Danio rerio: one gene and its partners. The protein of the gene in region 1 interacts with the protein of each later gene in a biochemical or structural test. Links are inferred from orthologs where the notes say so. Each region holds a gene or a part of one and is shown in the gene's direction. Other genes may lie near its edges. The genes, in order: mmp14b, lum and timp2b.

Region 1 (11,151 bases):
CATTCAACAACTCTTGTTAAAAAACAGAGAACTTCTGTGAGGTAGCTTGAACAATCAAGTAATAAAGAACATAAATTCTTCACTTTTGGACTTTAGTGCAACAGTAAACATAATAAAAATCTAATATAAAAATAAATAGCACCTCAACCTAAAATACCCAGCAGGCAATCCCAAGTTTACATATCTCACAGTTTGCTATGGTAATGTTGTCTACATCAACTTTATAATGCCTCTAGTCCGCAGACATACTCGCGCATTCCGCATTTACTTTGCGGGCATTCAACCAATAGCGTCTCTGCAACAAAAGTGACGTCATGCCGCACATGTTGCTGTTTCTGTGTGAAAGAAGTCTAACTCTGTGCCACCGCATAACTATAGATGTGTTAAAATAATAATCAGAATCGGAAGGCTACGTCTGAATCCGTGTGATCGGGCCAGATTTACGATCATGTTTTCGGATCTGGACATCCCTATTAAAAACACACTAATATACCAAAAACAGATTCTGAAAAAGTATTTATTTGGTCAAACAATGTGTTAAACTATGTCAATACCCTGCTGCATTATGTTTTGGAGGGCATCCATGCACAGTCCTATCAACCTTTGTCAAACAGTTCTTATAAATTTTCTTAATGAGGTCAAATGTTCAGCAAAATACCCTACCATATACCAGATACTAGACAGTACAGCTGGAATATGCGTGTAGAATTGTTTTCCAAGAGCAAACCAAGTGTTCCTGACAAGCTGATATTTAAAACTCTTGTTAAAATTGACATTAGATAAATATTCTTGTACTAATGCATTCTTTACTTGTACTAAATCTCTTTCTTTTAACACTTGGGAAGCACCGAAACACCAAACTGTAAATATGACCTGTCAACTTGTGTCCATTGTGTCCATGTTTGTCCAGCTGTACAGTACTAGATAATATACTGCTCTTAACACCAACTAGAGTCGGGTAAGATTGTTTAACAAGCCTGTATGTTAGTCAGTGTAAGTTCTTGTTACTTTAATATTGTCAGTGTAGCTATTGAAAAAGACTGATTCTGAGATGAACCACTATCTAGCTAAAAGAAAAATAACACTTTCTATATTTCTTGGTGGAAATGTTTGTTTCTATGGTGGTGTTTGTTCTTTGTCTGGATACTTTTACATGTATCTATCTTCCATGGAAATGAATAATTGGGTGTACGAGTCTGACTGTGAGTTGTAATTTCATGGTACAGCTAAAAGGAAATAAAAATCAGTGTATTCACGGCAAGACCCAGAACGAGCAGTTCTTTCAGATCGCTCACACTCTTTGTTGTTGTCTTTTTGTTTAACAGTATAAATCTCATCTACAGTGATGTTACTCTTCCTTGGTGGTCTGAGGGAACAGTTTTCTTCACATACAGGCATCCCTAATCCGTTCACTCCCTAACACAATCAAACTCCTCCGCACCGCTTCTGTGTGTGCCACATCAAGCGCAGTGAGGGAGAAACTGGAGGAAGCGTTGACAATCTGTCTGAGGACTGGCCTCTAATCTCTTGCACCATGACAACCATGCAGAGACATAAGACCTAAATAAAGTATGGTCTATGTGTTTGTTTGTAGGGCTATGTGAATATTGGGTGTAATGTTGCACTTAAACTGGTTAAGCCAAAAGGTTAAGGTAACTCAAACCATTTAAGGGAAACCGATTGCAACAAACCATTTAAGTTCAAAAACTAATCCTAATGAGTACTGCAAACTTAATCTATTTGAGTAAACGAAGAAGTTTGAGTACTGAAAAACCCAATAAGTCAAGGCAACTCAAACTGTTTGAGGAAACTAATCTATATGAGTACTGTGAACTTACAAAATTTGAGTTGAAGTAATGAGGTATGTTAACTCATTACATTCAACACTGAGTTCAAAACTCTTTTCAAATGAGTAGTATTAACTTTTAGTCAATTTTGAGTTAACTACATTCATTTCACTTGATAAAGTTGACTGTTGGGTTTTACAGTATAGAGTTATTACAGTTACATAGTTGTTGCATCTAAGAGGGTCACACGTCTACCCTCACTAATGGGGTAGATTATTTGGAGATTCCACAACATTTGCTTTACTGTGGGGCTTAAGAAACTGCTTGTTTTAAGTTAAGACCAGTACATTAAGTTGCAAAATCTGGCATAAATATCTAAATATTAACAGTACATGTAATTAATGTTTAAAGTACTGGGTTATGTAGGGTAACTACATGGGTTAAAGTAATAGTTCAGCCGCCAAAAAATGAAAATGACCTAATTTATTCTTCCTTATACAAGTTTTTTTCTTCTGTTGGACACAAAAGAAAGTATAGACCCTTTTCACAAGACTATTAATGATGCGTTTAATGGTCATCAGCATCCTAAACCCCTGAAAGCTTTTAATATTTAGCTTTTTTTTTGCAATGTATGAACATTTATATGCAATTATATGTGAATTATATCTTACCGTTGTACCTTTGCAACAAATTACAAAAAAAAAAAAAAAAAAAAAGAATTTTCTAAGTTTTTAAAGAATTTTCATGCAGTTTTTAATGCAGTTTTTAATGCAGCGTATATAGGGCAGGAAATCAATCAGGTATTGGTCAAATTAACAGTATTAACAATTTTGAATTATAGGGATTTAATTTACAGATCAGCTTCAAAAACTCTTCTTCACAAACTGGATGTTATTTACCAAGCAGCAATTAGTTTAGTTACTGTTGCGCCGTTTAATACTCATCACTGTCAACTGTATTCTTTATTGAATTGGCCTTTTCTCTAATTACGCCGACAAATTCATTGGTTTCTGTTCATTTACAAAACTCTTATTGGGAAAACTCTACTAAAGTATATTTACAGTCACTTCCTAACATTCAGAAAACATGTCAAAATCTGCGCTCTAGTAGTTTTATTAACCTTTGTATAACCACAGTTCGCATTTTATTTGGTTGCTACTCTTTTCAGTTTTCTGCTGCTGATGCTTGGTATACTTGTCTGCAATTATCAGTCTCCACATTTTTTCACCATCGCGGAGCTTTTCTTTTATTATTTCAGCAATCACAATTGTAAAAAAAAAAAATTTTTGTTGTACTCTCCAATTCACTACGCTTTTAAGTTTACCCAACTATGCCTACTTCCACTATTGAGAAACGAATCTGGTTGATGGCACATATTGACTTCCATAGTACTGAAACAAAAATACTATGCAAGTCAGTAGGTTCAGGTAACCAGCATTCTTTAAACTTAAATCTTTCGTGTTCAACAGAAGAATGAAGCTCGAAATAGCTTGTGATCAATTGAAGGCTGAGTAAATAATTATCATTTTTAGGTGAATTATGCCTTAAATGTTACACTGTAAAACCCAACAGTCAACTTTATCAAATGAAATGAGTGTAGGTAACTCAAAATGTACTGAAAGTTAATTTTACTAATTTGAAAAGAGAAACTCAAATAGTTTGAGTTGCCTTAACATATTGGGTTTTTCAGTACTCAGTTGGTTTGAGTTCTCTTCATTTATTAGGTTTTACTGCGCTCAAATTTCTTCATTTATTAAAATGGATTAGGTTCACAGTACACATAAGAATTAGTTTTTGAACTTAAATGGTTTGTTGCAATCGGTTTTTGTAAATGGTTTGAGTTACCTTAACTTTTTGGGTTTTACAGAGTAGGTTAAGTGATACCCAGTTATTAGCTCAGTTATGTATTCTTACTATAAGTAGGACGTATGTAGGCAACACAAAACATAACTATAATATAAAGTACTACCCAAAATACATTGCACATAAGCAATGGGAAAAACCCCTTTGATATAATCATTAATCCTTCACATTGATACCCGAAAAGATTTATGTTCACTCAGAAAAAGTCATCATGGGTTCCTTCGATATGGAAAATGCAGAAAATTAGTCACTCAGTAAGGGTGTGCAAACCTTCTACATCCACATGTTCAGCACCATCTTTAACATCCTTAAATCTGATGAATGAAAGATCTCTTCACAAATCGTTCAGGGCTCCCCAGAAGTACAGAAGGAAGTTCTTCTAAAAGTAAAAGGTGGGATCTATTTTAAACATCTTAATATGTGATAACATGCACGAATCTCTCATTTAAATTAATATTTTCTATAGTATGCTTTACAATATTATATTTGTGCATGTACATTAGTTTAGTCAGTACTGAAGCCAAATCTGGAGCTAATCTAACAAAATAGCTTACAATAATGGTTCAAATATTAGTAGCCCAAATGTATATGTTAGGGAAAATATTAAATTAAATTTTCAAAAATAACAAAAAACAAGAGAAACAAAGTATATATAATTGTGTTGGAATGTTTTCTCTTGCAATATTTTGCATGAATTTAAATGATTTATCTTTCCATTTCTAAAGATGTTCCATGACTAAAATCTTTTTTTCATAAATATATCTGTTTAATAAATCTGTTTTGTTCAAATGCACCAATATATATTGCCCATATTCACTGGCAAATGGATAAAAATACTCATTTTCAAAATGTGGTGTACTCCGCCATGATGAGCACTGTATTTGCTCTAGTTCAGAGATGCCCAAACTAGGGCCCGCGGGCCAAAGTTGTCTCACGGTAACCTTTGATTTGGCCCACCATCCAGTCTGAGAAGAGACTGATGGGAGGGTTGGGGGCGAATGTCTTTAACTGAGATCGTAATTTCTAATTTAACATAGCTTTTTTGATTGTTTTATTGCTGAGCTACAAAAAAAAAGCAAACTAAACATAAATGTGTCAATTAGATTCAAAAATACTGTAAATACTGTCAATCTATGGACAGAGAACAATGCCAAAGACATCAGCGAGACATCAAATCAAGGCAAAAACAGATGCAAGTTGACTCGTGTATTCGGCATTAAACTTCCCTCTGTTCTAAATGGGATTGTTTTTGTTATTACTGTTATTAATGTATTATTAAAAAACTGCATTAGTTAATATAAAGCATAGATTTGTAGTTATTTTTAACATTATTAATTACCCATGGCAAATTTAATTTAATATAGTTTGGTATTTTTTCCTTCGGCCCACAGTCCTCAATCAATTTTGCTTTTCGGCCCTCCTTAAGAAAAGGTATGGGCACCCCTGCTCCAGTTTATCTATCAAAATGCAAAACATGTAATGATAGAATGCCACCGGTAGGTGGGAGTGTTGAACCTTGGCACTAACAGACTCGAGACATGATAATACTGTATAAAATATATACGCTGCATATATGACTACAAAACATATGCTGTACATTTAAAACCATAAGGTGTTAAATCACAAAACTATAAATTGTCTTATTTTGTAAGAATTTAATGACATAAAAATCCTACAAATGTTTTAAATATATCAACTATAACATAAAAAGCCAAATTACATTACATCCCCTGGCGCTATGCTCGTATTTTTCCATCAAGTGTAAATGAATCATTCTGTCATGCTTGTTTGCTTTAGAGCAGTGTTTTGGGCAGTGCCACAAAGAGACAGATGGTAAACACTAAACGAATGTCGAGCAAAACCCTCAATTAAAATTGCTTTAAAAACATTGATCTAAACAATAGTCTACTAGTCAGGGAGGGGGAAACTGGCATATGAAGTATGTTCTCTGTCCACAAGGAAGGTCCAGCAAAAAAGTCGTCAGCAAGGCCATGAAGTTCGTGGATCTGAAGTGAGCGGGATGGGCTAAATGGAAGAGGGAGGGATTTTACTATCCAGTTTTTTGGCAACTTCGATCGAGCGACCACGTCTACAACCAAGAGAAAGGGGTTGCTGTGCATGAGAAGCCGAAGATTTTATTAAACTAGAAAAATAAGACAAAGATATATTTGCCAATGATAGCTTGTCTGTTTTTACAATGCGTTCTGTCGATGCTCCATTCTAGCGCCCAGTGCATGAAACGATGACTTTTAGACTGTAGAGTTTCAGTCCGTGCAATGCAACGGTAATATATCGCAGGTATTGTTTACATTTTGATAAACGTCTGTATTCTCCCGCTTTTCTGGAGAAACCAAAGTTCTCGTCCAATTTGTACCACTATTGTGGTAGGCACTAGTTTTTAAAGCGTTTTTTATTTCGACAGTAACAAAGTGGTGTCAAACTTTATCACGAGTACTTTTTCAACAAAGGAATCAGAGCGAAAAATGATCTGGAGCGGGTTCACGAGGCTGTTGCTCCTAATATTTGTGTGCGCGCACAGATCGTCCTCGAAACAAGATATGAAACCTGAGGTGAGTATCATGCATTATTAAAACTTAAACTGATATGTATCACTGATAACTGATAACATGTACAGATATGAGCATCGAAAGATGTTTCATCCCTAGGGAACGATACATGACTACATCTCAGTAATTCATGCTAGAAGAAAAACATGATTTAAAAAAGAAATAAAATAAAAACTGATAAAAACAAACGTTTCATATCAAATCAATAGTATAAGTGTGTGTGCTAAAAGGCATATAAATATATGACTTTGTTTTAATAAAGTAAAAAAAAAAAAAAACTTTTTTCCAAACAATATGTCGAAACTGGATAAAGTTCTTTGATAACTGTTACTGTATAACAAACTACTAGACTTGCATGTCAAACTGTGTGACCTTCACTAAAGTAGGTCAATGCTTGGCTAATAAAAGCAGACTGTGTGTGTATGTGAGACTTGATCTTAAGCAGGGGTGCCTTTTCTTATGAAGGGCCAAAAATCCAAACTTTATTAAGGCTAGTGTGCCAAAGGTAAATATAGTTGCCATAGGTAATTTCTCAATTTATTTAATAATATTTATAAAAATAACTAATACAGTAACTTATACAGTATATATATATATATATATATATATATATATATATATATATATATATATATATATATATATATATATATATATATATAAAATACCAAACTAAAACTTTTTTTTTTGTTGCAGTAAAAAAATAAACTAATTTATCTCTAGTTTGTGCCTTGATTTGCTCGTCTATGTCTTTTGCATAGTCCTCCATTTGTCGAGTGACAGCATTTATGTTTTAAAAACTCAGACTAATTTATATTTAACTGAAACGTCATTTCAATTAGCTTTTTGTTTGTGGTGAAATAAAACAAACAAACAAAAACAGGTTAAGTCAAATTAGATATGACAATCTAATGTCAAATCAGAATGTGACAATCTGTTAAAGGCATTGCTCCAACCCCCTCTATCATTCTCAGATGGGATGGTGAGCCTAATCAAAGGTTACAATGGGCCAACTTTGGCCCGCGGGCCCTACTTTGGGCATCTCTGATTCAAAGTCTAAATTGTTTGAATGTCACAATATTTAAAAAAGAAGGCAGCAAAAGCGGCTAATAAGAAACGATATCTGCTGAAGAATAACCTATGTATTGTGATTTAACATTTGTAATGCCAATGAGATTGAGAAAATTATGAGATGAGAAAATTATCGTGGTCTTAATGTATTCTGATTTGAAAAAAAATTACATTAACATTTATAATCTTTTTAGAAAAAATCTGATCTTTGAGTGTAAATTAAAATCAGTTTATAAAAACACTGTCATTATGCAAAACTATAATATAAAATGGGCATAGTTTTTGTTCACAAAAATATGTGACATGTTAACAAAATTCAGAACAAAACAGCAAAATTTATAGAGCCATAAATAACATGTTCATTTCCATTCTAGCTGAAGGGTGGAAACCCTACAGGATATATCCATTTATGGATTTGATTAAACTTATGAGGCTCTGAAACTTTATGATCTGTCAGTCACAAGTATTATTGTCACAGATGTTTAGTTTTAAGAAACTCAGATCTCTCTGCTCTGTGATCAAAGTAAACACTGTGGAGGAGTCTGAATTAAGGTCAAGTAAGAGACCGCAGATACTGAAAGATGCTGAGGATGCAAAAAAGAACGGCCGATTACCGCAGGAAAACAGGAAGAAAAGTCATGACTGTAATGTTGTGGTCAGAGGGTGGATGGATATGCTGAGGATGAGTTTGGGGGGAGAAAGGTTTTTCGGCTCCTATAAGCTGCAGGATTTAATGGATGACATCTGTCCTCAGTTACGGTCAGAAAGTAGAGGAGGGGTTTAGACAGAGTAAATAAAAAATATCTCCATATGGGCTCTTTTCTTCCTCTGTTTCTCCATTTCGGCTACCAGGAAGTCATCACAATCCTGCAGGAAGTTCTCCCAATTCCTTAAGGATTTCCTTCAGCTATACAGACTTCTGCACACCTGTTTTTGAACAATACTAGTGTCTGTGTCTACCTCCATTTGTTGTGAAATCCATATCACAATGATATTTTTGATGCACTTCTTGTCACTGACAGATAAGTCATCTGATGAGTTGCATTAATGATTGCGTAAGCCACATTATTTGGACATGCATTTGCTCACATATGGCTAGTCACATCCTTCATAGGACAGAACCGCAGGAAATAGCCCAGGGATTTTTTTATTTTTTGACCACATGGCTTCAGAGCAGATGTGCGATGATGCCAACGGTTGGTGATGTAGTGACAGAGTTTGAGGAAGGAAGTGGGATGAGGAAGGGGGTGGAATGTTGGAGAATATAGACAAAGAGATGGGGGGAAAATGGGATTGATGTTTTCGGGCAGGAAACGCGGTGGGTGTGAATGATGCAATTCTGCATAAAGAATAGAAAGTATTGTAGGCTGAAAAGTGATGTCATTTTAGAAAAGAGAGACTAACAGAGAAATGAAAGGCTGAAATTGACTACAAATTGTACAGTCCCTGGACAAAATCTGAAAATTAGGTCATTTACAAAGTAAAATCCTTTTTTGGATTCTTTTTTTTGATGTTTGAAACTAGTAGTCATTGACCTGCAATTAGAAATGTTTTTTGTACTATGGATGTCAGTGGCTAACAGTTTTCAACAATCTGCAAAATATATTTGGTCTTCAATAGATTTTTTTTTTATTTTGGATCCTTTTAAGACTGAACAACCAGCAAGATCTTTGCATTAAGTGGTTTCAGAAAGGAACACTCACCGGCCTCTTTATTAGGTACACCTTACTTGTACCAGGATGGACCCCCTTAGAACTGCCTTAATACTTTGTGGCAAATATTCAACAAAGTACTGGAAATATTCCTCAGAGATTTTGGCCCATATTGACATGATAGCATCACAGTTACTGCAGATTTGTCAGCTGCACATCCATGATGCAAATCTCTTATTCCACCACATCCCCAAGGTGCTCTATTGGATTGAAGTCTGGTGACTGTGGAGGCCATTTAAGTACAGTGAACTCATTGTCATGTTCAAGAAACCAGTCTGAGATGATTCGCACTTTATCACATGGCGTTCTATCCTGCTGGCAATAGCCATCAGCAGATGGGTACACTGTGGTCATTAAGAGATGGACATGGTCAGCATCAATAGGAATAGGGGCAGGACCAAAAAAAGGAGCAAGCAGCTACTTCCTGCAGAGAGACACAGAACACTTCATAAAAATAAAAAGAGCAGAATTAATACATAAGGGACATAACACCCCCACAGACAAGAATAAACATCTTCATGTTTACAAACAAGATCTTGATAGAGTATAAGCAATGAGGTTATCTTTGCCTTTTTTGTACTGAATGTCTAAATTAAAGTCTTGACAAATTAAAGGCCAACGCATAAAAGTTGTCAAGTGTAAATTAAATGCAAGAAAGTTTGGGCTGTCACAGTACATACATTTGAATACTAACCACTGTTTTTGTTATTGGTAAACTCCAGTTACATTAGGCATTTCTTTTTAAGTATTTCGCTATTGGTGTTACGCTGTCGATACATTTATCCAGCTGTTGAGCTTCATTAGCGTAACCTGAGCAGCTGAACTGCATTTTTATGATTTGGCTTCATTGGATTTGGATTCACCACACGCGCACCCAGATTCTGTGTTATTCCATTGGCCCAGAGTAAATGGAAGTTGTGACTCATTTTCCTTTAAAATTGCATGTCTTTCTCTCAGCCTCTCAACATAAAATGGTGCCTATTGCTCCTTTGTATATAAAGTAATAGAAAAGATCACGCATGCTGTCACAATAACTCAAACTTAATTTTTCATGCATCATGGCCAAGCCAAAATGAGGGTGAAAACTGAATTTATTTAATCAAATTTGCAAGTTATGAAAGCGTTGAGGATTTTCTTTACATTTTGGATCTTTTACATTATATTAGATTTGATATTTGGTGTTCACACTTGCAGTTCAGGTCTTTTGGTTTGTTTGGGCCAGACCAAAAGTGTATTTAGTCCTGGCAGACTCAGTGGTAGTTTTAAAAGGGTTAGTTCACCCCCCCAAAAAATTTGGCTTTTTACGCTCCTTTCACTTTGTCCCAAATACTATTTGGGTTTCTTTTATCTGTTGAAATAAGTCATTTTGAAAAGTCCCGGTTGCTTAGACCCATTGACTTCCATGGAATTTTTTTTTCCTACTGTGGAAGACAATGTATGCCAGCAACCAGCATTCTTCAAAATATCTTCTTTTGTTAAAGAAAAAAAAAAGAAAGAAAGAAACTCAAAGGTTGAAAACCACATAAGGCAGAGTAAACGATAAATAATTGTCATTTTTGAGTGGACTAACCTATTAATCCCGAAAGATACATAAAAATGTAGAGCTTTGTGATGGAATTTACAGGACATTATGACATTTTATCAGTTGTGAAGATATTAAAATATGGCTTAAACACTAGGGATGTAACGGTATCAGAATTTCACGGTACGGTAATACCTCGGTATGAATGTCACGGTACGGTATTTATTGAATCATTTACAGGAAAAAACAAAACTTATGAAAATACTCCAAAAAAGTGCCAAAAGTGTCAATGACATACAAATTAGCCATCTATCTGTAAGCTTTGAAACAGGAACTTCAATTTTAATAACAAAAAATTATTAAACCATGTAAAAAAAATAAAGTTTCAATTTAGTATTGTTGAAAACTCATCACATTCAACATTTAATCACACTCAGCCCATCTACCTAGATGAGAGCTCTGCTAGTCGGACTTCTCATCAAGCATCTCCCGCTGGATCTAATCTCACTATATTTATTAAACGGGATATTTCATTTATCTTGTTGTCTTTATCTAACGACATATTCCCTGACTTTGGTCAGTGGAATCTATTACTTGTTCTCAGGTAACGTGTTTTGGCTGAGCGCAAA
Region 2 (11,322 bases), on another chromosome or scaffold:
ATTTGTACAATTTAGTATGATTTGCTCATCCCCCAATGGCGGTTGTGTTTAGGAGTGAGGTTTTGCTGCTGCGCCTCCTTTTAGAAATCTGTTTTTCATACGACTGCACTTGTGAATTTGTACAAATTAGACACTAAACCAGGGGTCACCAACCTTTATGAAACTGAGAGCTACTTCTTGGGTACCGATTAATGTGGAGGGCTACCAGTTTGATAAACACTTCTCAAATAACAAATTTGCTCAATTTACTTTTACTTATACTTTATGTTTTTGGTAATAATTAATGATATTCATCCATGTGAAGACACTGATCATGTTAATGATTCTCACAAAAGTTATCAACAGTGATTTAACAGGGTAGGAAATACCCTGTATTTAATGTATCAATGTGCAACACTTTATTTTTATATTTCTCAGCAAATATTTACATTTTTAAATGATTACTTCTATATTAGATGAAGCTTACTGGTTAGTGGCGCTATGGTGAGCTATTTTTTAGAACAGGCCTGTGGGCAACACATGTGATCCTCGCGGGCTACCCCTGCACTAAACTGACAAAACATAATATAGTTATATTTCCTTGTGAGATCATGCTGACCTATCTGATGTTCAAGAATTCTACAATTTAATCTTAATTTAACCACACTGTGTTGAATTAAGACTACAACCTTAAAGGGTTAGTTCGACCAGAAATGAAACTTCTGTCGATGATTGCTCAACCTCATGCTGTTCCTCTGACACCTTTGTTTATCTTCAGAATACAAATGCTTTATGCCTTCAGTGGTTCAATCCCAGCTACGGCAATACTTTTGTGTGCGCACAAAACAAAAAATAATGACTTTCTTTAAGAGATTCTTCTCAGTGTCAGTATAGGGTGCATATTCATGGGCATTGAGAACAACCTTCCTGAGGGCTGTGTCTTGTGTTTTTAGAAGCAAAGATGTATTCTGTGCCCTCTTCCTCTGTTTGAAACAAAACACAGGTGCATGTGAGGTAGTTATACACATAAAGCCCTAAAATCATGTGATAAATATTATCAAAGTGTAAGAAAATGTTAAATTGTGAATGTAATAAATTCCATTACACAGATTCACGTTCATTTTCCCATTGGAATACACTACTGTTTCCATTGCTTTTCAGTGTAAACATGCTCCTGACTTACACTTACATCTTTTGACGTGCTGTGCACATGAGGGTTGCAATTTTTTGACGTTGTGTCATGGGCGTTGCTAGGCCCATTTTAGGGGGAGGGGAGGGGGGGCTGTAGCCCCCTATATTTCTACTCAGCCCCCTAAAACTTTTGTAATTAGCTCATAAACTGTAAACTAAATTATCACCTCAGTCCCCTTTAAATTTGATATGAAAACGACGGCAGAATTCAGCTCCTCCCCATCTTTTGTTTTTCACTTGATCAGAAAACCACAGCCATGGACAGCTAGAGAACAAGGTGTGTGTTTATTGATAAATTGTTATAATATCTGCTTATTTGCAGTTGTTTGATATGAAATAACCTTGTATCATCTAGCCTCCTGGATTTTAGACGCGAAGATGCATTTGGTGTGAATGAGACCTCACACAGAACGTGTTTTTCCATTCCAAAGCACCACTTTTCCATTGTTTTTAATGTAAATATTAGACTGACGGATGTGTGACCAGCCCGATTTCACGAGGAAACCTAACTATTTTAAGTTTTGTCAATTTGGTGGCTAATTTGTACAAATTCACATGTCATTGGCTGATGAGCAAATCGTACCAAAATGTTTGAACGAAATTATATAAATACATACGAATTAGCAACTACATCAAAAAGTTGGCGTGAATTGTCGTGAAATTGTCGTGAGATAGTCTTAGTGTGACCATTATTCTCTTGTCTTTTTAAGCAATGCGCACGAGCAATACGCTTTTATTATTAATATTAAAGAGCCCATATTATACATGAAAAAGGGTCATATTTTGGTTATATGGGTCTCCAACAACATACTGATATGCATGCAAGGTCAAAAAACACTTTCATGGTCTTATAATATGCATTTATTTTTACCCAATTATCACAGCGACTCCCATAATCGTTCAGCGATTCATTTGTTCCCAAACCCCTCCTTAGTGCGAAGCTAATCTGCGCTGATTGGACCGATGACAGCCTGTTGCGATTGGTCGACAGCATTCAGCGCTAGACAAATGCCCAGCGCGGTTTGTCAAGCCCCCGGCGGACAGGCCCGTGCAACAACCCCGTGATCGTCATAACCCCCCGCACGGGAAGTATGAACGGCACTTGTCAGTGAAAATGAAACCTATAGCGTGCACATCATTTACTGAGCTTGATTTCCGTGACCGAGCTTTTCTCTCTTCTAAGCTGTAACTTAGATCATTTCTATTTGCAATTATTGCTGTGGCACCTCTTGCGTGAAGTGTTATAGCCCACTGTAAGCGTGTAGACTGCTGAATCAATTATTTCCCCTCACACTTCCAATAATATCCAGCTAAGCACAGCGTCTTCTTGACTCGTCTTCTTGTCTTTGCTGCTGTGCTAGTGGGCGGGGCGCAAGTTTTAATTTTCCCGGGTTTGCGCCCATATCAACTATGTTTCGTAGTCACGTCACGCTGAAACGGCTAAAGACTCGTTATGAAAATGATTCATTCTAACCACTATGAATCAACTCTTTTTTTTAGATGACTCAGTAGTTTTAAAAACTGTCCACTTTCAGATTTAAGCCTTAGCTGGATATTTCCCTTCACTTAGATCTGTGTTACACACTAAATGGATGCTCATTTTCGAAAACCCACAATAGGGGCTCTTTAAAATATAAATTAAATAATACAAAATGTAACCCTTTGTAATTTTACTCAAAACGAGAAAAAAGTATGATGAGATAACAGTGACTGGGTTGAATTTGCCGTTGCATTCCAGTGTGTTGTACTTGATATGCCACTGTGCTCCTGCAGATGTTGTGGTTTACATAGTCTTAGAGCTAATACAAATCAGTCATACCTGCATTAGGTTGAGCAGCGCAGGTTTGTCCTTACCTGCCGCATAACTGCAAAACATACATGATGTCCAGACATGAGCTCAACAGCTTGTGTTTGCCCTGCAGGCCTCACTCAGTGCAGGATGACCTGCAGGAATCGTGACAGACGAGGAATGATAAGATTGATTGAGAGCAGTTGAAAGGACCACCAGTGGTGTCTGATCCGTGGTCCAGCAGTTACTGCACATGCTATAACATGCAGTGGTGCTCGAGCATGTAACTAGTGTATGAAACTTACTCTTAGTCACTGTTTCCCATTTGATTTTATTTAAATATATATGTATTTAATTTTTTCAGACTTTTGAATTTATCTACATGACTAATTTGTTTTAATTTAATATCATATTTTAATAATTTGTTTTATTTGACTTTCAGTAAAATAACTACAGACATCAGTTTGCAAACTTATTGATATTGGGATTTACAGTAGGGGAAATAAGTATTGAACAGATCACTATTTATCTCAGAAAACATATTTCTAAAGGTGCTGTTGAATTGAAATTTTCACCAGATGTTGGTAAAGAAAACAAATTTAATTACTGTAGTTTACAAATTAAGTTGTGTAATAAAATGAAATGACACATGAAGGGAAAAAGAATTGAACACATGAAGAAAGGGCGGTGTAGAAAGGCAGCAAAAGCCCAGACAGCAGCTGAAATCTCTCAGAGGTTATTCAGAAACACTCTGCCATTGTTGTTACACATTACTATTTTTTTTGATTTTTTGTTTTGTTTTATTTTTATGTATGTATTGTTTGAGTTTTTACCAAAACCTGGTTCAATTCCATGTCAACAGCTACTTTAGAAATATTATTCGAGCGTGATGTGGCAGCAATTCTCTTCGTGTTGGATACTCTATTATATATTGTGGATATGTGTTTGTTTATTTATAAATGACATAATTATCTTTGTTTTATTTTATTATTTTGATATTTTGTATCATTTTATTTATTTATTTGCTATTTTTTGTGCACTTTGCACTGGACATTTTTATCATTACCTTTGTAAAAAAAATTCCACCATTTTTTACACTTCCGGGAAAGGTCATCGTTTATTAAACTGTTTATTTTTGGTGTTTTTGTCAGGCATCCTACACCTCGTAGTAAACCCATTCGGGGAAAACTACACAAATTATAACAACAGCACTCGTGACATCCGGCCCTCTCACAAGTCTGTGGAGAGGGGAATATTTATGTGTAATTAATTTTCCCCATTGTGTGTGTGTGTATATATATATATATATATATATATATATATATATATATATATATATATATATATATATATATATATATATATATATATATGTATTTTTATTTATTTTATTATTTTTATTTATTTTATTATTTTTTTTATTAGTGTGCTTTATATTCCATTAATTCGACAGACCAGAGTTAAATAATCCTTGTATGCCATTGTGATCACATCTACAGTTCAGATTTTGTATTTCAATAAATTTGTCAGGCTTTTGTCCTCAGACTGTGAATGTATGCAGGACCAGGTTCTTACAAATCTCATCAAGCCTTTTGTTGACATTTGATTATATTTTTGAATGTTGTATTTTGTGAAATCATTTGGCATAGTTATGTCTGTAATCAAAGTCCCTTTGAGGCAAGTCACTTTACTCAACGGCCATTTTTAAAACACCTCTCGGGCAGAGAATTTAATGTTTCCCTCTGAATGGGAAAACATTAAATTCTCCAAAACTGCTTGCCAAGCTTACCACTGAATTCCATATTAGGTATCACCAATAAAGTTAAACAACAACTGTGTCTTTAGTTTCATTTCTAAACATCCAAATCACACAAAATCGGCAGAAACTCTCGTCTGGTCTGAGCACCTCCCCCGGAGTATTGTCTGTCTATAGCAATCGAAGATTGGCTTATGTACAAGTAGGCGGAGCTTTATTCACCATATTGACCATTACACTTCACTATTTTGCCTGGAACTACTTTAGCTGTGCATTTATCTGAAAAATGTCTGCACACTTTATAATGTTCACCCACCATTCAGAATCAAGCATTCAAAACCCTGCAATATTTTTTTATCCTACTCCAAAGTTTATCAGTTTAATTATCTTTAATGGCCAAGTAATTGTCAATGACCAGACAGGATTGATTAGTTTAGATTATAATCCTTATTTTATATCTTCCTAATTCTTTACAGCTTTTACAGTAGTGGCCCAAGAAATGCACAACCTAGGCTCTGATACACATAAGGCTTACAGAACCAATCTATCATCTGGCTCTCTGGCTTTGCTGCATTCCTAAGACTCCGCATGTGCTATTAAAGATAAACTGACCTGCAATCAGCCTTGTCTTTCCTGGATCCCTCATGAGTTGTGGCCCACCTCAATGTGCTGTGAGCTTCCCATCACAGAGGACCATGACCACAGCCAGACAGAAGCCGTCTGGAGTTTATGGGGCTTAAGATTAAAAGATGGCACACTGCTTGATGATATACAATCTACCAGCTGTTAACGATTGGATACACTCTCCGTTCAGATGCCGAAGGTAGACAACACGGTTATGTAAGGCTGGTTTGGCCCAATACCCTTTTATTTGGTCAGTTTTTCCAAGTCCCGGTTGTCTAATAGCAGGCAGATGCCATTGCAACCAGCCAATTTATTTTATTTTCCAAATAGTTTGAAAATAGTTTCATTATCCTTTGTTTTGCTAGGATTATTACTTTTACGGTTGAGGTGTTTGTAGGCTTATTTGTGTCTCACATAATAGGTGAACTGTTTTGTGGGATTGTTTGGAATGGATGACATGGAAATGGAAAAGTTTGTGTGTGTGTGTGTGTGTGTGGCAGCAGGTATATATATTTTGCAAAACCTCCCCAGTGAGTCTTTGCTCCCTTCTGCATCCCACGAAGGACTACATGTCCCAAGCTGCATTGCTACTACTCACCATTGTTAAGATCCATATGTGCCACAACTGCTGACATCTACATACTAGAACCGCCTGACTTCTGTTTTCAATCTTGGGCGACTAAGGTCTGGCTTGAGTGTCTCTCTCTCTCTCTTTCCCTCTCTCTCTCTATCTCTTTCTCTCCACTCTCTCCCTCCCTTACTCTTTCTCTCCAGAGTCCTCGGGCCGCACACAACTGTACCTGAAGAGAGAGAAGCAGGAAGGTAAGGATATTTAGCATCTGCTGTTATGCATTGAATGTTCATGCTAGCTTTTGCTTTCTCTGGATGAGATTATCAGAAATCTGCTTGGCAGATTTTGGGGGAGGACTAAAGAAACATTATGATCATATTGCGGAAATTCAGCGTGATGTTTGGGAAGCTTGGAGTTCTATCTAAGCTGTTTGTGGTCAAATATAAAGGCTGTCATTTAGAATTAAATCAAATGATTTATAGGTTTTTTTAAATGCATGAAATTGTACAATGGAACAATCAATGCAATTTTTTGCAGGAAGAAAGAAAGATAAAGCAGTGCATGCATTTGACTAGTGATTTTGCATCAATGGATTGCTATAAAGAAAACCTGGGTTGCGAGATTCCATGCTTGACACCTGCTGCAAATTATTCTATGCCGTCATAAATTATTAATGGATTACCCAACTTCATAAATGTCTTTCTTTTCCAATTCCATCTTAATAATTAATCAGCATGTCATGCACAAAAAAGGGAACTCTAAAGTAAAGTCAATGTAACTTGAGATGAACTTGGATCCGAACACCAGCAATGTGGGTCTAATTTGTGAAGGGAGGAATGTCTGTCTGGGCCTATTGCATTCTTGAGAATGAAGTCATCAATTTCCATTAGAAGAGTGTCTCTGGTTTTTGTTTATGTCTGAGGTTCACCGTAGAAAGTTCTGTTATTCTTACACATTTTAGTTTTTTTTTAATGTAATATTGCTCCTTATTTAACCACTTCTCCCTTTCTTTCCTGTTCTCTTCTCCTCTCTACTGATCTCTTGTCTAGGTTTAATTTAAGTTGTGCAGCCATGTTTGCTCTGGGATCCATTCTGTTGGCTGGACTTCTAAGTCTGAGTTTAGCTCAGTATGATTACTATGATGAGTACTACATACCCTCCGCACCACTGGAGGGCGTTTCATCACCTTCTTGTGCCCAGGAGTGCGAATGTCCCATCAACTTTCCCACTGCCATGTACTGCAATGAGCGCAACTTGAAGTTCATCCCCATCGTGCCGACCGGAATCAAATACCTCTACTTACAGAACAACTTCATTGAGGAGATCAAGGCTGGAGTGTTTGACAATGCCACCGACCTTCGCTGGCTCGTCCTCGACAACAACAACATCACCAGTGACAAGATCCAGGCTGGTACTATCGATAAACTAGGAAGCTTGGAGAAGCTCCTCTTCAGTCATAACAAGCTGACTAAACCCCCTGGTTCTCTTTCGAAGTCTCTGGATGAGTTGAAGCTGATCGGTAACAAGTTAACCTCATTCCCTGCTAACACTTTGGCTGGGATGGAAAACCTGACAACCGTCCACTTGTCCAAGAACAAACTTACCACCGAGAGCCTCACAGGAGCCTTCAAGGGCCTCAAGTCCCTCATTCTGCTGGACGTGAGCGAGAACAAGCTCAAGAAACTTCCCTCGGGAGTTCCAGCTTCGCTTTTAATGCTCTACGCTGACAATAATGACATCGACAGCATCCCTAACGGCTACCTGGCAAAGCTGCCACTCCTACAGTACCTGCGCATCTCCCACAACAAACTTGTGGATTCAGGAGTCCCTGCAGGAGTGTTCAACGTGTCCTCTCTTCTTGAGCTTGACCTGTCTTTCAACAAGCTGAAGACCATCCCGGAGATCAACGAATCACTAGAACACCTCTACCTGCAAGTCAATGAGATAAACAGTAAGTTTTTTTAGTCTCCATCTGGTTAAGCGAATCAGATTTTGCATTGATTTTGACTCCATTTTGCTTTCTGTTTCTTTAGAGTTTGAGCTGACGAATATCTGCAGATTTAGCTCACCGGTCAACTACTCTAGACTGAGGACCCTGCGCTTGGATGGAAACAACATCACACACAGCAGTATGCCAGATGACACAGCTAACTGCCTACGCCAGGCCTCAGAGATCATCTTTGAATAGAGCTAAATCTCGCCAGTAGCTCATCAAACAAAATAAGGCTTTAATTCTTATTAAACCAGGGCTGCCCAAAACTTTTCCTGGAGGTCCAGTGTCCTGTAGATTTTAGCTGCTGAACGAGCTAATGAAGACCTTCAGACTCACTAACAACTTCTCAGCATATGTGATGGAGCTAAAATCTGCAAGACCTTGGCCCTTCTGCAGCTAAATTGAACATCTAAACCTGTTTCCAGAGGCCGTTATCCTGCAGAGTTTAGCTCCTGAACATGCTGATGAATGTCTTCAGACTCACTTGAACCTTCTTAGAAATTGTGTTGTAGCTAAAATTTGCAGGACTTTGGCTCTTCAGGAGCAGGATTGGATGACTAAACCTGTTCCCAGATGGCCACTATCTTGTAGAGTTTAGCTCGTGGAAACTAATGAAGGTCTTCAGACTCTTTATAACTTCTTAGTGCGTCGGAGCTAAAACCTGCAGGACTTTGCTCTCTATTAGACACTCTGGATGTCTTTATTCGGGATTCTGGCTACCACATTCGGTCACTTGCACATTGTTGACAATATTTGCTGTTTAAAAAGTTTGTATGAAAAACGGGCAGCAATAGTCTGAAAATCTTGAAAATCTGGCACATAAAAGATTAGTCTTGTATTATAATGTATGAAAAGTGGAAATATTTCAGTCTAAAGAGAGACACAAAATGCTGTGCACTCTATAATGAGTTGCACTACATGTCATCTATTTTTTTTTTTGCATGTTAAAATCTTTAATCACTTGAAACTGTAATCATATTATTAATAAGCCTGCCAGTAAGGATATTCGACTGTTTTCTACAACCTATGGATATGAACTAAATGCACAGCAGTGCATTTTAATTTACAAATTAAAAAATAAACATTGTACATTGAGTGAATTCTATCTAATCTCAAAGGGGGTTTATTTAAATGAGAAACTGCAGTGGCAAAATTTATTAATTGCAAACTAGTAGCGGCTTGCATTTCTGAACTCTGCCAACGATTATTCCATATTCTACTGTATCTGCATGCAGCTCATCTTAATTTTGTAACAGTAATTCCTTTCAGTTCTATGGTACACAGCAATGACTTTTTGATGTATTCATTACACTATTTCACATCATCACAATGTTAGTCAAATTATTGAACCACGAGATTCCCATAACTTTGGCAGACTGTTATATAAAAGTTGTAAGATCCCTGATTTTTTTTTTTTTCAAGACAACATCAAAGCAGTTTGTTCATCTTAAATTGAATAAAACACATTTTTTTTTTACCTATGTGGGAGATACTGAAGATGTCAATCCTTAAAATTAGATCAGATCTAGTATTATAACACACAGTGCCATTTAATTTATCAAGTAATCAGTCATGCTTTACTTTGTTTTAATTGTTATCAACTGATTTGTCAAACCAAAATTAGGCTTGCACATCATAGTGCAGTCAAGCTACTCTAAGTTTGATTGCTTTGATCTTAATTTATGATCTTCTAGCATGACTTGATGTGGATTTCCATTTCTTTACTCTGTTAGTTCTGGTATGGATCTGTCCTCCTTCCTTCTCCTTTTTGGCCTCTCACTCTGATTCCTGGTTGCCAATTTAGTTCTGTTTAAAGCAGAGCCATGATGACAGAACTGCTTCCTGTAGGAAACGTGTTCACTTGATGTCTGAAGAAAAGGTTGTGGATAAAAAAACGATAATGAAAAGGTCATTGTATTGAAGAACTAGGGTGTTATATCTGCTGGCAGCACTTTATAAGAATTATTTGACTTCATGTTACTTTAAAAGGTAAGACCAAATCAAATCATTCAATAAAAACGTTAGGCTTTAGTAATAGTTTCATGTCAAATCTTTATACATGTCCATAAAACCCAAACTGCGATAAAATTGTAGACTTAAAGGATTAGTTCAACCCAAAAATTAAAGCTCTGTTATTAAATTTTCGCTATCATGTTCTTACAATTTCCTTAAAACACATTCATTTTCATGTTAAGACATTAAAAGAGTTTTGATGAAATCTGACAGCCCTCTTATCTTCCATAGACAGCAGCGTTTTTAAGAGTAACTGTAATGATATGAAGCTTCAAGAACACTGTGCCAAAAGACGTGTAAATACATATATCTGCTCTCCCACGTTAGATCATCTACGTGCACATTTAAAAAGGGAAGTATGACATATTGCTATTATTGCCCGTAGATAACACATAGCCTAATATAATGATCTGTGATGCATTCCTACGATTCTAACACTTCTCAATTCATAGTTCTACAACATTGTGATTACACTTTTAGCCTCATGACATAGAAAAATATCCAAATCTCCAAAGGTCATACGGGTTCACCTACTGTGCATGCTTATAAATAAAGACCATTGATCTTCCAAGAATATCCTTTAACATCCAAAGTACATTTACCTGCACTTCCCACTGAAGGTTCTTTAGGGAAAAAAAGATTATTAAAAGTCATTTGTGCTAACAAACTAATGGTTCATGAAAAGCTATTTAAGTGATAGTTTACTCAAGAGTAAATTAAAAAGTAATAATATTTTCATTTTTGTGTAAACTGTTTCTTCTTTACGTAATCAAACCCCATTTTTTGTTAGTTTCTTTATGGCATTGCTACAAAAGTTTTTTTTTGTTTTTTTTTTTGTCATTTTTGTTTTTAAGAGAGCTAAATGTCTGACGTTCCTCTTGTTTCAATGACCACCTTTGCATATTGTGTAGCTGGGATGTTCATATCTTCTCACAGTGCCAGTGTTTGAGTTAGCTGTAAACATTCATTCCCTTTCTTGGCCCGGGACATACCTTGAATGAATCATAAAATATCCCCAACAGTTGGTCCATTCTTTCCTTTTACTTCTTCCAACCATCTGCTTCCATCTGTCTCTCCGTCCCAAACCACACCTTTATGACAGGCACTTCAAACGTTGCATTTAACATAACTACAGATTTGAGCACGCGTCTGAGCTAGCACTAAAAATGAGTGTTTTATTTAAAACGGTAGAATTTGCAGGCAGACAACCTAGCATTCCAGAGAAATGAAGCGTTTTGGGTGACCATCTGATAGTTAAACAGCGAGGCATTGTGGGAGTTCTTTTGTCCATGTGTTGGAAACAGATGATGGATGGGCAGTTCTGGCTTTATAGCAGCCTGAAAATATAAGATCGCCACAAGCTGATCGTGCACTTTCTTTTCCCAGAGGTTGATGATGAAACATAG
Region 3 (11,325 bases), on another chromosome or scaffold:
GGCTAATTCGTATGAATTGGAACGAGTTCAGTCGTAAATTAAGAGAAGCTTGGCATCAAACCCCACCTGTACACCCAATCGTCATTGAGGGATAAGCAAATTGGGTCACACTTTACAATAAGGTTCATTAGTTAATGTTAATTAATCCATTTACTAACATGAACAAACAATGAACAATACATTTACTACTGTAATTGTCCATGTTAGTTAACGTTAGTTAATGAAAATACAGTAGTTCATTGTAAGTTCATGTTAACTCATGGTGCATTAACTAATGTTAACAAGCATGGACTTGGATGTTAATAATGCATTAGTAAATGTTCAATTATGATTAATAAATGCTGTACAAGAGTTGTTCATGATTAGTTCATGTTGGTAAATGCATTAACTAATGAACCTTATTATAAAGTGTTACCGCAAATTGTACTAATCATACTGTACGAATAAGATCATACGAATACATACAAATAAAAGGTCACTAATTGCCTTGAGATTGTGTTGGTTTGACCACTAAACTGCATTTCACTCCTTTGTCGCATCATGTGTCTTTAAAACAGTAGCTCAGCTTTTACAAATGTGTCTCAGCTCCTTTATAGTTACTTTTACTGGCGTGAACAAGCCTTAAATGTATCACACCAGCCAAAATTCTCACTTACAACAAAGAGCAACAACAATTTAGTTTCACAAAAGTGAAACTGAATATACCGCCCAGCCAAAACATCTACAGTCCTGTTCACTGGAAGTCTTTTCAGACTTTAATTACAATGTACAAGCAATACAAGTCTTTAAAACCATGACACAATGGCTTCTCGTACTAATAAATGAACCACAAGAACACATGCTGGGGCACTCTAGGTTTTAATTAGCTTTAAGGGAAAACGGCAGGGAATTACACTTCGAAAATTCCCCTCAAATGGCCTGGAAGGGTTTCCTTCGTCTGTACAGAGGAAGGCCAGACGTTGAAGTAGTAAAACGTGCGATGATACGTCAGATTTCGTAAGATGCGTAAATTACCCTATTTAGCCTGGTGTGCAAAGACATGCATCACTGCTATTCAATTCAGCTTTATTTGTATAGCGCTTTTACAATGTAGATTGTGTCAAAGTAGCTTCACATAAATGGTCATAGTAACTGGATCAGGGTAGTTCAGTTTTAAGTGTTTAAGTTCAGTTCAGTTTAGCTCAGTTCAGTGTGGTTTAAAATCATTACCGAGAGTCCAAACACTGAAGAGCAAATTCATCGATGGGTAGCTCTACCGATCCTAAACCATGTTAGGTAGAGGCGACAGCGAAGAGGGAAAAAAAAACTTCACCGAGAGAAACCAGACTCAGTTTAGCACGACCATTTTAATTTCTCCGCTGGCCAAAAGTCTTGAGCAGAGCTGCAGTCTCAGCGGTGGAGGCTTGAAGCTGGCCTCAGCGAAGACTCGTCTGTCCCGGGACAGACTGGAGAGGGTCTTTCTTCAGACTATTACTACTGAAGAAAGTCCAGAGTAAACAGAGAGAGAGAGGAAATATGGGGGAAAGGTTTAGAGGTCACCAGAGGACGCAGAAGTGTTTCCCTGAATGTCAAGAAGTGCTGGTGCTTATTTCAACAGAGTAAAGCAACAGGGACTTCCTTCATCTTCTTAAAATCTGATTGAGTTCCTTATTTCTCTCAACACAAAGACAAATCAACTTCTTCTTGCGTCATAGTTATTCAAAGACATGGCAGAATATTACTACGCAAGCAACGGTAAACGAGGTTGACCCTGATAAGGGAAGTTTGGGAATTACTGATGGACACAAAATCCGTAATACTGCTTTGCAACATGATCAAATGCACTGTGACCCATAGTTTACCTCACATGCCAACGTCAAGCATGCACACAAAGGTCAACCAGGGGTGAGATGTTCTAAATCTAAAGTGTGTATTGCTGAAATTTTAATACTAATGAATGTGTAAAATCGCATTGTGCGTGCTGTGAAAAGCAGGGATGTGGTAGCTTTAAATCATGCTCTCATTTTTATGAGAGATTAAAGTTCTAGTTTAACCCAAAATGAAAGTCCTGTAATCGTTCATCAACTTTCAAGTTGTTCCAAATCTATAAGAAATGTGTTCATCTTCAGAACACAAATAATATTAGAAGGGATGCACCTATGCAATTTTTGGTGATACGGATATTAACAAAAACTTTGGCCGATTACGTTACCAATTTCAATATTAGCTAATACATTTTTAAAACAATTGTGGTTAAAAAAATTTATATAAAAAAAATACTAAAACATTATCCATTACCAAATCAATACTGATACAGATATCAACATTAAAAAACAACAACTTTTGGTTGGTTCCAATACAAAAACTTCGGCTGATACTGATATTCACAAAAAACTTTCAATCAATTCCGACACCATTATTAACAAGAAACTTAATGATTACATTACAGATTATGGTATTAGCAAATAAACTAATTATTCGAAAAATACTTTTAACCAATTGTGATACAATTTGGATATTAACAAAAAAAATTGATTCCCAAATAAATTCTGATACCTATATTAGCCAAAAGGAAAACTTTTGGTTGATTGCCATAATAACAAAAAACTTGACAGACTGCATTACAGATTCTGATATTAGTAAATAAAACTTTCAACCAATTGCTTTACAATTCCAATATTAACAAAAAAATGTAAAAAATTAAATAAAATTGTTCCATTCCACTACCGATATAAAAGAACTTTCGACTGATACTGATACCAATATTAGCCAAAAAAAAAAAAAAAAAAACTTTCAAATGATTCCGATATCAATATTAACAAAAAATTATTAACAACAACAAAAAACTTGTTTCAACAAAAATATAGATTCACAAAACCCATACTAATACTGATATTAAAAAAAGAAAAACCATTTGTTCAATTCTAATACCAATATCAAAAACCTTCGTGTGAGCCCAATATTAGTAAGAAAACAATATTAAAGATCCTTCGGTTGATACCAATGTAAGCAAAAAATACATTTCAATTGATTGCGATACCAATATTTAAAAAAAAAAAAAAAATTAGCAAATAAAATTTTTAGTCAATTGGAAAACAATTCTATAATAATAAAAAAGGTTGATTTATATTTTTTCTTATTAAATTTAGTTTGATTCTGATACCAATATTAAAGAACCTACAGCTGATAACAATACGGATATTAACAAAAAAATTTGACTGGATACGTCACGGATTCCGAAATAAGCAAACAAAACTTCAACCAATTGCGATACAATTCTGACATTAACAAAAAAATGTGGTCAGTTCTCAAATCAATACTGATACTGATTTTAACAACAACAACAACAACAAAAAATAACATTTGGGCTATTCTAACAATTTTAACCAAAGATTCATTCAGTCTTATAATGATATTGGTCAACTGCACACAATATACAATACTAGCTATTTTTCCTCCATTAAATAACTTTTACTTAACATGGATCACCATTCAACTTTCCAACATTTCACAGATTTATTTCTATTCTAACACTCAAACAATACCATTAGCTGTTTGTTCAAACATTTTAAATGAGTTGAATTTTTTTTTTGGGGACAACTTAATTGTTTCTTCATGTTGTCACAACACAAATCTATCGTGTGGAAAGCAGCATTTTACAGTGAATATTGTTTTGACCAAAAAGGCTTTTTGACATAATATAACATACTAATTTAATAAACTTAACAAGCCAGTGCTTTTGCTATCTGTACTTTATAAGACATACAGCACATTTTCTCCATTACCATCAGTATTTTTATATCAGTACTAATAGGTTGACAGCTTTAAATGAATCTATATTGGCCAATAAATAACGGTGGCTGACACATTAGTGCATCCCTAGACTTTAATAACCAAATAGTAGCATTCTGTCTCTCCATTTAAAGTCTGTTTACTGAAAACCCTGCTGAAAAATCCAGCTTAAACCAGCCTAGGCTGGTTGGCTGGTTTTAGCTGGTCGACCAGGCTGGTTTTAGAGGGGTTTTGGCCATTTCCAGGCTGGTTTCCAGTCATTTCCAGCCATTTCCAGCCTGGTCTTAGCTGGTCAGGCTGGAAAATGACCAGCTAAAACCAGCTTGACCTGCCATGTTTAAGCTGGACACAGCTGGTTTTAGCTGGGCTTCCAGCCTGGCTAGGCTGGTCAAGCTGGTTTTAGCTGGTCAACTCCCAGCCTGACCAGCTAAGACCAGGCTGGACATGGCTGGAAACCAGCCTGGAAATGGCCAAAACCCCTCTAAAACCACCCTGGTCGACCAGCTAAAACCAGCCAACCAGCCTAGGCTGGTTTAAGCTGTTTTTTTCAGTAGGGAACATTTGTAAAAGACACTAAAAATAAAATACAAAAGAACTGAGCAAATTAAAGCATTATAAAGATAAAAGAGCCTATGCTCTTTTTTTTTTAGATTTCTTTATGAATGTTTTGAAGCGTCAGCTGAATTTTACTGACAATAAATAAATCAAGAATCACAAAATAAACAGGAAAAAATATTCATTGTATTTACTAAAAAAATAATTTAGGTTAAGTGGATGCAAACAATTTATATGGGGTAAATTTAAACAAATTAAGTTGACAACTACTAAAATTAAGTCGTTTGTTTAAATTTAGCCCATATAAATTGCTTGCAACCACTTAGCTACCTCAAAATTGTAGTAACTACAATGAATATTTTTTTAGTGTAGCCTACGGAAAACTGCTAATTTAATGAGATTGTTTTACAGTGTATGATATACTTAAAATTTCACAACTCAAGCCAGTTTAATATATGAAATACACATTGCTCAAAAATGAACATTTATGCTTGGGCACAGAAACATCTTTAATATGGAAGTGAGTGGCGGTCATCGTGCGGTCAAGAGCCAAGGAAACGTCAGAGGCTCTCTCCATTGCCCAATACAGTACTGTTATTAAATTTCATTACATGTTTTATTTCTATATCGGCCAACGTAAAAAAGACTAAATACCAACAAAACAGATGATGGACATGATGACTAAGAGCGGCCAAGAAGTCATGCCGGCTCCGGGTAGGCGGAGCTCAGATGCGGATAAAAGCAGGGCGGGTCACCGAGAACGCAACTGTCTGTCCACTCCGAGCTTCTGACACCAGTCTGCTTTCATCAGCTCCTCGCCGTCAGCTTTTCAACTATCGCTCTCCGAAGTTTGCCTTGCGCAGCAAGCCAGTCTTTTACTGTATTTGTGCCAGTGTTGGTCGTGAAGAGTGTCCGCTGAAGATGAGTATGTCTCGGTCAGTTCCTCTGCTGCTGCTCGTGCTGTGTGGAGCCACGGACTTTGCCGGAGCCTGCAGCTGCTCTCCTGAACATCCACAGCAGGCGTATTGCAATGCGGATGTCGGTAAGATTCCATGCATTTAACTATTTCACATCCATGTCTGCATTATGCACCCATGACTGTGTCACATTAATGTGTGTGTATAAACCATAGACAGGATCCTTTATTATGAAAATAATGCCTGCAGAAACAACATTTAAAAAAAAACTTCTTAGATGGTTGCATTTTTAGAGTATGGTACTTAATTAATACAAATGACAAAGTAAACCTCACTGTAAAAAATTTAAGGTTCCACACAATTCATTTGTGTTGTCTCAACACAAACCAATTAAGTTAACTTAACAAATGTAAGTGGTTTGAACATAAAACAAATAAGTTGTCCAAACAAATCTCAAAAATTGTGTTTTTTCAACTTATAAAAAAAAAAGTGGAGCTGTAAGTCATTTTAAAAAGTTTCTCATACTCAAAAAATATGTTCGCTGTTTGTTCAAACTACTTATTTAAAATAAGTTAAAACAATTCTTGTTTTTAGAGCAACTTAATTGTTTTGTGTTCAATTTACTTAAATTGATCAAATCTAATAAGTTAATTTCCTTCATGTTGACTAAACACATATCAACACTTTAAAAAATTCAGGATTCCACACAATTCATTCTCGTCCCAACATAAATTGATTAGGTTAACTTAACAAATTTAAGTGGTTTGAACGTAAAACAATTTTGTTAAGAAATGTGTTGTTTCAACTCATTTTATACAAGCCAATAAGTTATTGTAACTGTAGTTGTACTTTTGCTGTACTCAAACAATGACGGTTCCAGTTTGTTCAAACTACTTATTTAAAATAGGCTGAAATGACAACTTTTTGGGGGACAACTTAATTGTTTTATGTTCAATCCACTTAAATTTGTAAAAACTAATAAGTTATTTTTTAATTCCTTCATGTTGACATTACAGAAATCGATTGTGTGGAATCCAGCATTTCTACAGCTGAACATGTTGTGGTTTCTTACCCTAACATTAATATGTTATTTACACATATTAAATCCATTTATCTGTATCACAATACTTTTTAGAGTTAGATTATGCTATTAATAATGATAATGTCAATGTATTTTATCATAACAAAACAATTCAAAACTTTATTGTCAGACTTGCATCTGAATTTTTTCTTGCATAACAGCATAATAAATACTGCTTACAAGGAATCAAAGAGTAATACAAAAAATATTCATTTTACAAGGACCTCATTCAGCTCCAGGACAGCCTGATGTAAAAATGACTCTTTAAATTTCACTTTATTAAAACCTGGGACTCTAAATCGAGGATTAGACTTGATGGTACACATTCATGATTCAACACATGACTAGGGTTCGAAATCATCTTCCTTGCCAGCCTTGTGAGGTTCTTGTAATACAAACGATCATATAATTTTTCAAGAGGCTTTCCTACTATCTTTGATCAGATTTTAATCTTGTTCATCAACTTTGTTTTGATATTCCCAAATAGACACCATAGGGTCTGTCATGTTTTACCAAAGTTTACAATTTTAGCTGTGATTTCTTTTCTTTATTATTTTATTCACATTATTTTTACATATCTTGCTTTTTACAGTGTGTAACACTTACATTAACACTTTAGTTTGAGTACCAATTCTCACGTCTAACTATTGGCTTACTGCCTGCATATTTTTAAGATATTGGGTCTGTATTAGTTCTTATAAATATCCTACATCCTCAAACTCAATCGCTAACCCTTACAATTTCCTTAAAAAATATTAATAAGCAGAAAATTAGGAGTTTATTGAGTTAAGATTCATAGCTAATGGCAAGAATTGCCTCAAAGTGTGACCAGTTTCATTTTCATTTTTCAGAGCAGTAATTTGTTTACATGTTATAAATAACTAAGCAATGTGCATAATTATTTTCTCTCTAATTAGAACTATATGGGCAAAAGAAAATTAAAGGATGAGATTATTCAAATGAAATGAAAGAAGAGTCTTAAATAATAGCTGGTTGTACACTCTCAGAAATAAAGGTATGTGAGCTGTCACTAGGGTGGCTTTTCAAAAGGCGCACATTTGTATTTGAAGGGTCCATATTGGTACCTCAAAAGTATTTATTAGTACCTACAAATTTTAAGAGGAACACTTTTGTACATTTTAGGTACCAATATGTAGCCTTGAGGTATTAATATAGCCCTTTTAGGTACACATTTGTAAAGGTGCCACTCTAGTGACAGCTTGCCTACCTTAATTTCTGAGAGTGTGAAAACATGTGCAAAACAATGACTTCAAAGCGAGCTGTGATTGGATGAGCCAGGCTTAACATATCAAAGAAGTTTGTCAAGTGTTTTATTATTAAAGTAGTCAAAATGTCATTTGATTGTTTTCTTTTTAGGGAGCTTCATGGCAAAACAACTGAATGCTAAAAAAAAATGCAAGGTTGTTTTAACTAAAAGTTGGATCAAATATAAAGAATTTAACCACTGGGTTAAAAATTGTAGTTTAAATTCAGTTGGAAAACATGTAGATTTAATATTTAACACTGGGTTAAAACAACCGAGTATTTTTTTAGAGTGACTGATGAGATGATTCATAAATGTATGATGAGTCTAACATGATATAAAATCAAGATAACACAACAATCCCCATAAAAATCCTCTGAGTCACATTTCACAAGTCATTATAAAACAATTTAACACACCCGTTCAGTCATATAATAATGCATAAAGGTGTGATGTTACTTGGCAGTAATAAATAACTGCAAAAATCAGCTTCACATTGTGAACGTATCCGGCTAAATCTCATCTCAGACACAGCCCACCTTTTATTTTCGCATAAATTCATTATGAATTCAATCCCCATGTGTATAAATAGAGCAATGTAAGCTTATTCTCCACTGATATCTACTGTATGAAAGCACATAATGTCCCACATCTGTGCAGTGTATATCATCCTCCTTGAAATATGATAAAGCTGAAATTATAAAGGCCTGATTTGATCCTCTGACCTTCAGCAGCCGGCCATTACATGACCTGTGCATTTTCCATTGAGTGTAGTAGCCCTGTAATTAAGCCCTCCTTCAACAGGCTGATTGCAGCTCCAGAAAATGAGAAAGCATTGCCACATGCTAGCGACATACCGTGGTTTGTGTTTGACATTAGATAGATGGTCATTACATGACTTGGGATGGCGAGACCCCACTGACCGCACACCCACCTATACTTAACAGAGATTCGCTGAACAACAACATCTGGCGCCCACCGCAGGAATCGGCCATCTCATTCTGGAGTATTCTGGCTGTTTGAAACTCCCACATGACTTGCTCATGATGGCTGAAAGATTCAACACAGTCGAATCATATTAATAAAGCACTTTACACAGTTACAGATAGTCTCAGCCATATAGTAGCACTGCTCTCAGACCTGTGGCTAAATGCCTGATGTAATCTTATGTAGATTTGAAGTGAAGACACCTCTTATTGGTTTGAATATACAGTTGGATGTGCAGCAATCTTAATCAGTCCACACAGCAAAATCCTCTGATTCAAATGTACTCAGTTTAGATAGTGGGCTCTATTTTTACAGTCCATGCGCAGAGCGCAAAACGCAGGGCGCAAACGCTTTCAGGGCGTGTCAGGATGCATTTTTGCTAATTTAAGGACCGCTTTGCACCATGGCGCATGGTCTAAAAGGGTTGAGTTTATTTTCTTAATGAGTTATAGGTGTGTTTTGAGAGTAAAACAATCAGAGTCTCATCTCCCATTCCCTTTAAGAGCCAGCTGCGTCGCGCCATTTGCGTATTTTGACGTAAAGTAAGTTCGCTTTTGCTCTCGTGGATAGGGAAACCTTACCGCACAGACATCAATTAGCCTATAAATAATTAATTTAGTTTGTTAAGCGCAAATATTTGTTTCAAAACTATTTCTAAATTCAGTTCTAATTTCCAGCAAACGAATAAATGAACAATAATAACAAAGTGTGGTCAAAATACTGAGTTATTTCCAAATACACCTGCCATGCCCCATATGGTCTAAAACCTGACAGTTGGACAAATCTAAGCTTGTTTTTAATAAAACAAATATAAATATAAATATAATAAATAATACTGCTAATAATAATAACATTATACAAAAGCAAATTGAATGAACTGAAAAAGCCTCCCGAGATGAAGAAAGTACGGCTGTGGTTTTTAAATCTTCATGTAGGCTAGAAATTAATATATTTTGTAATATTTTAATCATTTATATTTATATCCTACATATCTTTATTATATATATCCTTAATATATGATATCTTTTTCATATATAAAGATATTTGCGTGTTGCAATGCATCTAGTGTGTATGGTGTAAGCCAGGCGCACTTTGCGCTAGACAATAGACCAACTTTGTTCTGGTCTAAAGAACAGACTATTTACAGTTTCTCAAAATAGCAACGTGCCAAAACACGCCTGACCAGAACGCCTATGGGCGCACATATGAGCGCAAATGCATTTGCTATTTAAACAGTGTGGCGCAACACCTCAAAATGACCCTTGCGCCGAGCTGAAAGTAGCAAAAGACCATTGCGCCGCACCTTGCGCCACACTGCGCCAGGTGTATGATAGGGCCCAGTATTTGGTCCCTCTCTAAATCACGTTGAAGTTACTCAAGTTAAAGAGACAATGAAAGGATTAATAAGGAGATGATTGAGCACTAATAATGAACACCTGCTGGTGATAAACCAACGCAATCTCACGGCAATTCGTAACTTTTTGATTTAGTGGCTAATTCATTTGAATTTGTACGATCTAATTTGTACAATTTGGTACGATTTGCTCATCACCCAATAACGGTTGGGGTTAGGGGCCACGCCTCCTTTTTAAAATCGTACATTTTCGTATGATTGAACTCGTGCGGATTCGTACGAATTAGCCACTAAACTGGCAAAACCTAAAATACTTGCGTTTCCTCGTGAGATCAGACTGGATACCCAGGAGAAAAAATATATAATTATATGCAATTAAAATACACTTAAATACCCGCAAATACATTTTTAGTACATTTTTATTTTTTTTTTGTGTTAAATAAAAGTTTGATGGTTTTACTAATTTGATTGGATACTAATTAAAAGTATGTTTATACTTCAGTTGGACTTTAGTACACTTGACAAAAGTATACCAAATACCAGTAATACTTAAATAGTTTTTTTGTGTACTACAATAAAGTACACTACAGAAAAAACATCCAGAAGAGTTTTATTAGTGTGTTTTTCAAAAGTGTGCTTTAAATGCTTTAAACATTAGTTGATTTTTAGTACACTGTTTACATACTAATCCTAAGTTTAAAATAAGTTAATATATAAAAAAGCTATTAGTAATGTACTGTAGTAGAAGAACATTTTCCCAAAAGTTGTACTTTAGTACACTTAATGTGAATGCAATATTATCACATAATATAACACTTAAATTGATTTTGAGTGTGGTAATTTTAAGTTTACATTAAATTGACTTTATTAAAAATCTATTAGTAATGTATTGTAGTAGAAGTACATTTTCCCAAAATACTTTTAATACAGTATTTAGGACTTTTTTTTTTACAATTTACAATCTGTATATTCTTTTAATATATTAACTATTATTAACTATTATACTTTAAATTATTTATAAATATATTTTATGAATAATTTAATATATACTTTAAAAGTGTATTTCTAGTTGTAACTAAATATATATTTATTAAAATACAGATCTAGTATGTTAAAAGCACATTTTAGTTCAATTTCAGGGTGTCTCAAAATAGCACAGTTGAGTACACTTAGATGGTATTAAGTTTATCTTAACATATACTTAATACTATCTTTTAGTACATTAAGTACAAAATTAGTATGCAAAAATAGAGCCCTTTTAGTACATTACTGAAAAGTGTACTAAGTATACTTAAATAAAGTGCATTTTAGTGTACTTTTTTCTACCTTGGTAAACAGAAACATAGAAAATAAACAACTTACAGAAGAAAAAATTACAACTTACTTCAGTCACAGC

The links.
Region 2: the proteins of mmp14b (region 1) and lum interact in a biophysical measurement, tested with the Homo sapiens proteins (2 studies listed by BioGRID and IntAct, with this or other methods). The link is inferred for Danio rerio from reciprocal best matches to the Homo sapiens genes MMP14 and LUM.
Region 3: the proteins of mmp14b (region 1) and timp2b form a complex in vitro, tested with the Homo sapiens proteins (2 studies listed by BioGRID). The link is inferred for Danio rerio from reciprocal best matches to the Homo sapiens genes MMP14 and TIMP2.

What each region holds. Positions count from the first base shown.
Region 1 is NC_133177.1:41,179,543-41,190,693, forward strand, and holds the start of mmp14b (matrix metalloproteinase-14b), read left to right. Parts: upstream 1-5,735; 5' UTR 5,736-5,948; exon of another isoform or gene 5,949-6,072; 5' UTR 6,073-6,133; coding exon 6,134-6,220; intron 6,221-11,151.
Region 2 is NC_133179.1:16,936,113-16,947,434, reverse strand, and holds lum (lumican precursor), read left to right. Parts: upstream 1-6,125; 5' UTR 6,126-6,161; intron 6,162-6,959; 5' UTR 6,960-6,981; coding exon 6,982-7,861; intron 7,862-7,943; coding exon 7,944-8,098; 3' UTR 8,099-9,006; downstream 9,007-11,322.
Region 3 is NC_133178.1:61,864,240-61,875,564, reverse strand, and holds the start of timp2b (metalloproteinase inhibitor 2b precursor), read left to right. Parts: upstream 1-5,247; coding exon 5,248-5,368; intron 5,369-11,325. UniProt on the Homo sapiens protein: Complexes with metalloproteinases (such as collagenases) and irreversibly inactivates them by binding to their catalytic zinc cofactor. Known to act on MMP-1, MMP-2, MMP-3, MMP-7, MMP-8, MMP-9, MMP-10, MMP-13, MMP-14, MMP-15, MMP-16 and MMP-19.